Tribolium castaneum: one gene and its partner. The protein of the gene in region 1 purifies or fractionates together with the protein of each later gene. This does not show direct contact. Links are inferred from orthologs where the notes say so. Each region holds a gene or a part of one and is shown on either strand. Other genes may lie near its edges. The genes, in order: E3 ubiquitin-protein ligase KCMF1; acyl-coenzyme A thioesterase 10, mitochondrial.

The links.
Region 2: the proteins of E3 ubiquitin-protein ligase KCMF1 (region 1) and acyl-coenzyme A thioesterase 10, mitochondrial purify together in Homo sapiens (affinity purification with mass spectrometry; 3 studies listed by BioGRID and IntAct, with this or other methods). This does not show direct contact. The link is inferred for Tribolium castaneum from reciprocal best matches to the Homo sapiens genes KCMF1 and ACOT9.

What each region holds. Positions count from the first base shown.
Region 1 is NC_087403.1:4,743,429-4,747,358, reverse strand, and holds the start of E3 ubiquitin-protein ligase KCMF1, read right to left. Parts: upstream 2,697-3,930; 5' UTR 2,522-2,696; coding exon 2,506-2,521; intron 2,454-2,505; coding exon 2,286-2,453; intron 2,197-2,285; coding exon 2,054-2,196; intron 2,005-2,053; coding exon 1,778-2,004; intron 642-1,777; coding exon 1-641. UniProt on the Homo sapiens protein: E3 ubiquitin-protein ligase which accepts ubiquitin from an E2 ubiquitin-conjugating enzyme and then transfers it to targeted substrates, promoting their degradation by the proteasome.
Region 2 is NC_087398.1:5,411,753-5,415,398, forward strand, and holds acyl-coenzyme A thioesterase 10, mitochondrial, read right to left. Parts: upstream 2,255-3,646; 5' UTR 2,139-2,254; coding exon 2,071-2,138; intron 2,023-2,070; coding exon 1,961-2,022; intron 1,915-1,960; coding exon 689-1,914; 3' UTR 538-688; downstream 1-537. Other genes in the region: dolichyldiphosphatase 1, read left to right, coding at 3,400-3,505, 3,600-3,646. UniProt on the Homo sapiens protein: Mitochondrial acyl-CoA thioesterase. Catalyzes the hydrolysis of acyl-CoAs into free fatty acids and coenzyme A (CoA), regulating their respective intracellular levels. Regulates both mitochondrial lipid and amino acid metabolism.

The DNA of each region.
Region 1 (3,930 bases):
TCGAATTTTGCGCGTCAGACCTCGCTCTTCCCCTCAACACAATGTTTCTCTGCCTAACGGGCCTAGCTTCATCACCAACTGAAATTTCAGTCTTACTTGAACCGTCCCCAATTTTAAACAATTTTGATTTAATATTAGGCTTCTCATTAGAGCCCTTATTACCGTTCCTATGCGCAGCCGACGACAAAACTAACTCCTGCACAAACTGGCTGCGATCTTGCCTACTCAAATCAGTCGTTGACTGCAACGACAGCTCCTCTAACAGCCCGACCAGAAGGAACTGTGATTGAGGAGAAGGCATGGTCGGAGCGTTAACAGACGGCTGCTGAATCAAAACCGGGCTAGGGTTTAGCATTAAAGTCGAAGTTCCAGAGTTCGACGACGCGTGAGATTCGCGCAAAGACGTCTGGCTTTGGGTTTGACGTCGCGGAAAACGCTCCAGCTGCTGACGAGCTGCGTTCACTTGCTGGCGCTCGAGCTGCAGTTGCATTTGCAGCTGTTGCAGCTGCGTCGGAGTGCTGCTATTCGTGTTGCTAGCGGAACGACGAACCCCCGAAAGTTGAGACAACAACTCCGCGATGGGGTCCACCGTTTCCCTGGACGAGGGAGAAAGCGAGGACAAACCGCCAGAACTGAACACACTGTTCACAGAAAATTCTATTATTAAAGACCGACAACGGTTTTTAACAAAATTGTGATATTTGGCTTTTTTATCCGCGTAATTTGATATGCAGTTGTCCCAGCGAGATGGGACATAATTGACCATTCAATCTCAAAATATTTGAATAAACTTACTACTAGTAAGGTCAGTGCAAAAGTTTGATGTTCATACTTTTTAAATTTTATATTTGTTGTTCCTGACTCGCTAAAAATATTTTCCGTAAAATTGGTAAAATAAATTTTGTACGTAAGTTTATTTTTATGTGTGCACTTGTTTTTTTACAAATGAAATTACTTTGTACTATTTTTTTTTCAGCTATGAATTAGGAAACTCAAGAGGCGTCACGAATTCGTAATGAATTTGTAAACAAATCATTAAATAAATCATAATAAATTTGCTTTTTGTATTAGTTTTAAAAACGCGGTAAAATCCTTAAATTTACACTGTTGTGCTGAACAAGCTCATACAATCCTATATTATAGTGTTAGTAGCTAACACTAGCCAAGTTTTCATATTAATCAGAACAAATATATCAAAAGAAATCTTCGATAACGCTTGAAAGATTGTAAATTCTATATATAGCCATTCCAGGAAAAATGCAATCTGACATCGAGATTTTCAAAATAATTTAGTGTGTAGAATTTCTTTCAAAATATAAGAGTTTATATTTAATGTATTTTGCGCCAAAAGTTTTTTTGTTGTGGATTTAAAATGGGAGAGAATAATTTAAATGGAAGTAATCCTAAAATTTACATAGAATTGCCTTGTAGGCGATAATATGAAATACTGTTGAGAGCTTTTTTTGAAGTGTTTTCCTAATTTTTAGTAGCTTAGAAAATGGAAATCTGTAAATGTAAATCTGTAAATCTGGATTGTTCAACAATAAAAATGTGACGTCTTTGTTGTGTTCTACCATTCGAATCTTAAATTTCCTTTTCAGCAAATTTACTAATGTTCGGCTGTATTTCGAAAACTAAGCAAAATTGACCACAGTTTTTAGGTCAAAATCAACAGTTTAAAAGCAAAAAAATATGGTGTGCTGCATTTGAAACATTCGCTGGGACACTGTATAACATAATTCAAAGCCAAAACGTTGTTGAATTTTGGGCCACTTGCCTGAAATGCATATTGGACCGCCTGGGTCTCAGGGCGGCAGCCCCCCGCCCCATATGAGTTGCATTATGGGGAATTCGCCTAACATTGTGTCTAGTCCCCACTGGTTCGTCTAGAAAAGAAATTAAATCCCTAGGGCCGGTGCGATGTTCTAGAGTGAGATGTCCGGCAAAATCATCAGTCATTAAATTAGGATCACCCCCTGGCATGGCAGCACATAATGGACAAACCTTCCAAAGGTCATTAATAAACGAAAAACGAGCAATTTTCCACACTTACAACTTCAAACGAAGTATCAACATGTTCGGACGAAACATGCTCCTGCAAGGTTACATCAGTGAAGCCCATACGAGAGCAGTACGGGCAAGTGTAGGACTGAGGCAGTTCAAGACTGGTCAAGGCCTCACCACCGTAGAAGAAATCTAATAAAAAGCGTTTTTAGACCAACTAAACTACCAAAACTCTCGTGATTGTGTTAATTTGTTCGAATGAAAACACCAAAAATTCGTACCAAAGTCGGCCCTGGTGATGATACACTGCATAGGGTGGTCAGTCGTATGCCTTGTATTGGTGGCCCCCCCTTCATAGCAAGCCGCACACAAGTCATAATCGTAACAAATCAAACATTTGTATCGGCGGCCCCTAAAATTTCCAATCAAACAAGAATCACAGCTTACACCTGTAACCCAATCAATTGATTACATCGGAACTGTAAACATCAATAGCCTTACCTTCATGACGACTCATGGCAGATATTGTGTATTAATTCCACTACGTTTTACCAAAATTTACACATGTAATTAGTGTGAAACCACAAATTATTTTGCAAATTGGAAAATCACACTGATCCGAACACAAGCTTGTAAAACAATGACAATTACTGTTTTACCGGCGACGCCATCTTTAGCGCCGTCCGGGTAACATGTCGGTAAAACCACCAAAAATGGCGCTGGCACCATGAACATTACAGTCGACCAGACAATCGCTGTGCGCATAGAGCTAGCACCATTCCCACCATTCTCGTTTTCTACAGCCAAGTTCACACCAGGAAAATTATCAAAAATAATCGTAAATCATTATAAAAACATCAATAAGTTGTTACGCTGACTTGCATATCACATTTATAGAACATCTCCTGACCATTCTCATGTGTTTCTATTACAAATTAAAACTTAACTGTATTTAATTTCTGCATTTTTTATTCTCATATTCAAGCAATGCAAACTGATTTTTTTTACCCCCTTTATATCCTGCAGTTTTCTTTATTTTTGCAGAAGATTAAGCCCTTCGATAGGGCCTTCGACTGTAAAAAAATCATGTTCGGACAACACCCTTTGGGACTTTAACGAATTTTTTAATTTTTATAAAGTTTCTCTATTATTCTCTATGTAAACTTTTAAAGTTTTTTGCTAAAAATTAAGATAGGCAATATCTATAGGGAAAAATTTTATTTACCAAAAAAATTCATAACTTAAAAACTAAAAGTCGTAGAGCAATGCGGTTTGTTCTATTGAATTCAGCGGCTCATTTTGCATATAAAGCCATTTTTTAACAAGATGTAAAATTTTAAAGTTTTTTGCAAAAAATTAAGATAGGCAATATCTATAGTGGAAAATTTTATTCAACAAAAAAATTCATAACTTATAAACTAAAAGACGTAGAGCAATGCGGTTTGTTCCATTGAATTCAGCGGCTCATTGTGCGTATAAAACCATCTTTTAACAAAATGTAAACTTTTAAAGTTTTTTGCTAAAAATTAAGATTTGCAATATCTATAGTGAAAAATTTTATTCAACAAAAAAATTCATAACTTAAAAACTAAAAGTCGTAGAGCAATACGGTTTGTTCCATTGAATTCAGCGGCTCATTCTGCGTATAAAACCATCTTTTAACAAAATGTAAACTTTTAAAGTTTTTTGCAAAAAATTAAGATAGGCAATATCTATAGTGGAAAATTTTATTCAACAAAAAAATTCATAACTCGAAAACTAAAAGTCGTAGAGCAATGCGGTTTGTTCCATTGAATTCAGCGGCTCATTCTGCGTATAAAACCATCTTTTAACAAAATGTAAACTTTTAAAGTTTTTTGCAAAAAATTAAGATAGGCAATATCTATAGTGGAAAATTTTATTCAACAAAAAAATTCATAACTCGAA
Region 2 (3,646 bases), on another chromosome or scaffold:
TCGTGAGGGCGTTTCGCGAGTACAGGATGGAAGAGGACTTGTTCGCGAAGTTGGTCTTCTTGATGCGGTCGCGAGAGCTGGTGATTAAGTTCACACGGGAGCCCGAGAACACGTACAGTCCGGAAATCATCTGGGTCAAACAACAAAGAACTGCCAAATAAGTTAAGTTTTTAAGGTTAGCCTAGTTCAGTCGATTCTTCCATTTTTCGAATAAGTCAAGCTTTTAGGTCGTACGGTTTTGTAAATTTGTGCAGGTGTAAATGTTTCTAAGTTATTTAATCGTTGTTATATTTATTGTGATTTATGGTACACATCACTCTAGTACTGATACAACTCTATTTTGTTTGGATGTTTTTATATTTTAAAACTTTTTATAAAACATTGTGCACAAGTGTATTTAATTTTTAATAAACTATTTTAAATTTTTCTGTTTATTTATTATTGGGAGAACTCGGGTGCGATGTCAGGAAAACTTATTTATCCAGCAATATTTATTAAATAAATAAATAAATAAAAATAAAAAAGGAAACAAATCAATTAAGAACGATCAACTTTATAAAGTTACAATTAAAATTAGTAAAACTGTTAATATCACATATGATTGCGCATGGAATTGAACAAGGAAATTTAAAGCGAGTTAATTATGACATATTGCGATTTAAACTAAATACCCAAGAACCCAACCCTTTTAAAGCTTGCTTTTATTGCGTATTCCTTCTTCATTTAACACGTTATCATGGTCATATGGAGTCTTCATAATTTCGAAGAAATGTCTTCTGCCGTCAATATACATCATGGCTTCTTGGTAAGTCCGAGGATACACCTCCCTGACAATCTCAGGCACTTCATAAGTTAAATGTACAACATTCGTGGTGTCAGTATTTCCCGTCTGTGGATCAAAAACTTCCACATAGACCACAATTTGGATAAATTGCATTTGAGTAAAGACCACATGGGCATACATATGAATAAGAGAATTCACAGCTATTGGTTTATTAAACTTAATATCGCTAATACTCTTGACTTTAGGCCTGTATTTACTAAATTTGAACCCAAGAACCCAGCTAAGTTCCGCCGCTTGTCTCATGATAAACCCTCCAAAAACCGTGTTGTGGAGGTTCCGGTTTTCCGGCTGCGAAAAAATCGTATTTGAGATGGTACAGTCTTCCATCCAGACCCCATTCGCGGGAAGTACCATGTTGGTGAAACTTAGATTTTTATTGGACTTGGTTTTCAAATACAAATCGTGGATGATCCTCTGTTCGTCATGATCCGGTATCACTTTCAACACGTGTTGCTTCTCTAAGGCTATTCTATTAGCCTTGCGGGTTTCCCCCCCAGCAAGTATAGCCTTTTCGCGGTCATCCGCCGGCTCTATCGCATTGACCATTGCTGCCTTCGTATTGGTCGGATCCCTGGCTGCTATCAGAAACAAAGCCCTCGTGATTCTGTGCCACGTCCCGTACATTTTCTGCTCCAGCCACACCACCACCTCCATGGAGGAGCGCCCCACCCAACTGACGTGCCCCGAAATCTTAATATCCTCATGAGGTTTAGGGACAAAGTCGCTAAAGTCGATTCTGTCCACCAGTGCGGTGACTAGAGTTTGGGGAGAGGGTGTCCCTTCGGGCAGTTTCGGGTTAAGTATATGTTTCTGCGCCACCATCACGGCAAAAATATCCATGTCTTCGAGTAAGCGCCCGACCCGGACGTACCCCAGAAACGTTGTATACCGGTCTTGGAGCCGCGTACTGGTCGAAAGGGGTATCATGGCCACGAGATAACTATCACGCATAGCTCGTGGCGGTAGTTCGCTTTGGCTTGTAGGGAGGTATTCGGAGAGGTGAGATCGGTCGGCCCGGATGGGGGAAAACCCACTATCGACCCCCATAGCTTTCGCCAAATTTACGGTTACTAGAAATGCAGTTTTGGCGGGTTGTTGGAATATGAGGGAACTTACGTTCTTGTATTGTTAACACCTTGTCGGCTGGCGTGGTGGAACAGCAGCGACTCATGACAGTACTATGAATGAATATTAGAACGGGGGTTCAAAGGTTGTGTCAGACTTACGGTTTGTATTTAAATGAACCCACTAAGCGGTTCGTGATTGATAAACTACGTACTAATCTAGAGGCCATTATTTTAATAATACTGCAAAAAGTGACAAGCAAAATTGTTGCAAAAAAGTTTATTGCGTCATTTTGTAAACGTAACCTCCGATTCGGTATTACGTCAAACTTTTTGTGGTAGTTTTAATGTACAATCTTGGTAGCTCCAACATACCAATCACAGATAACTTTGTTTTTTGTTTTTCATTTACGAATTAAATATTCAAACAATTTTTGTTGCATATTATTCAGATGCCTATCCATGATAATGAGTTAATCCTTTCGGACTGTTGGATCAGTTTTTTAAGCACAAATTAAATCATTCTCAGGTGTGGGATTCACCGGAAATTTGATGTGACCCCCATAGACACCACAAGAATTTTCGAAAGTTCTTTGTGGTCTCATTACGACAAAATGCAAAAAAGTTACCGCAAATATTAAATAACCTAGTTGCCTTTCGAGGCTTGTTTTCTTATTCACGAATACTCAGGGAATACTCTAACAAACTACAGAACTTACCGGTATTTCAGCTCCGTTTTTCTGGCCACTACTTTTCGCACAAGCACAACAAAGTTAGTCTTAACGAAACGTTTGTAAAAATAGTTAAATGTGATTATAATTTCACAGAAAATTTCAAATATTCAACACGAAAACACTGCGGAAAACAATGGGAAAACACTCAACTGAAAAACCGCCATTACTGGTCACGTGACTAATACAGAGGTGGGAAGTGGGAATTTCAAAATAATAAAAAAGCAATTTTGCTTTTTACATTGCTGTCTAAAATTTAATTTCAAATTCGTTTATCAAACGTTTGAAATTAGTTATTTAGGTGAGAAAGATCATTCTGTTACGACAGTGTGGAGCAAAAAATAAATGGAAAAAAGGTTTCAACAAAGTATGATAAGGCACTAAAGTTGAATTTTTTTATGGCAAATATGCAGCCAAATATGGTGTGTATTTGCCAAGTCAGTATCCGCAATAATGTTTTTTCAATTTTTTTCTCAAAACTTAAAATCATATACAACCAACAGCACAAGCTCGCTTACTTTGCGGACTATCTTAGTCCCTTTTACCGACGATTTCAACAGTGGCATTATGAATTATGAAACGTATTATGTTACTGACCATTTATTAATGGTCATTTATTAATCATATGCGTAGGTCTCCAAGAGATTAAGGCTTATTTATATAAAACACTCTGTATTTTTTTCATGAAGTGTCGACAAAACAGTCCCCACGCTTACCGTCCCGTCCTGTCACCCATCTGTCAAGCGCGATAAAATGCAAAATGGCCACGTTTGATTTGAACGAGGGCAATTTTCCTAAACCAACTGATATAACTGACAGAACAGAATGGGTGCCGCTTTCCCTAACCCTGGTCGAGTACCCCAAAGGTATAATTCCGTTCCAACCACCTTCGGACACGTCCTACCAACCCAAAAATCCCCCTTTCAGTTTTGACATTTCACAGTTTACTAACATTTCCAGGTGACTTCATCGGTAAAATCCTCGCTTTGATCAGTCTGGCCCCCTTT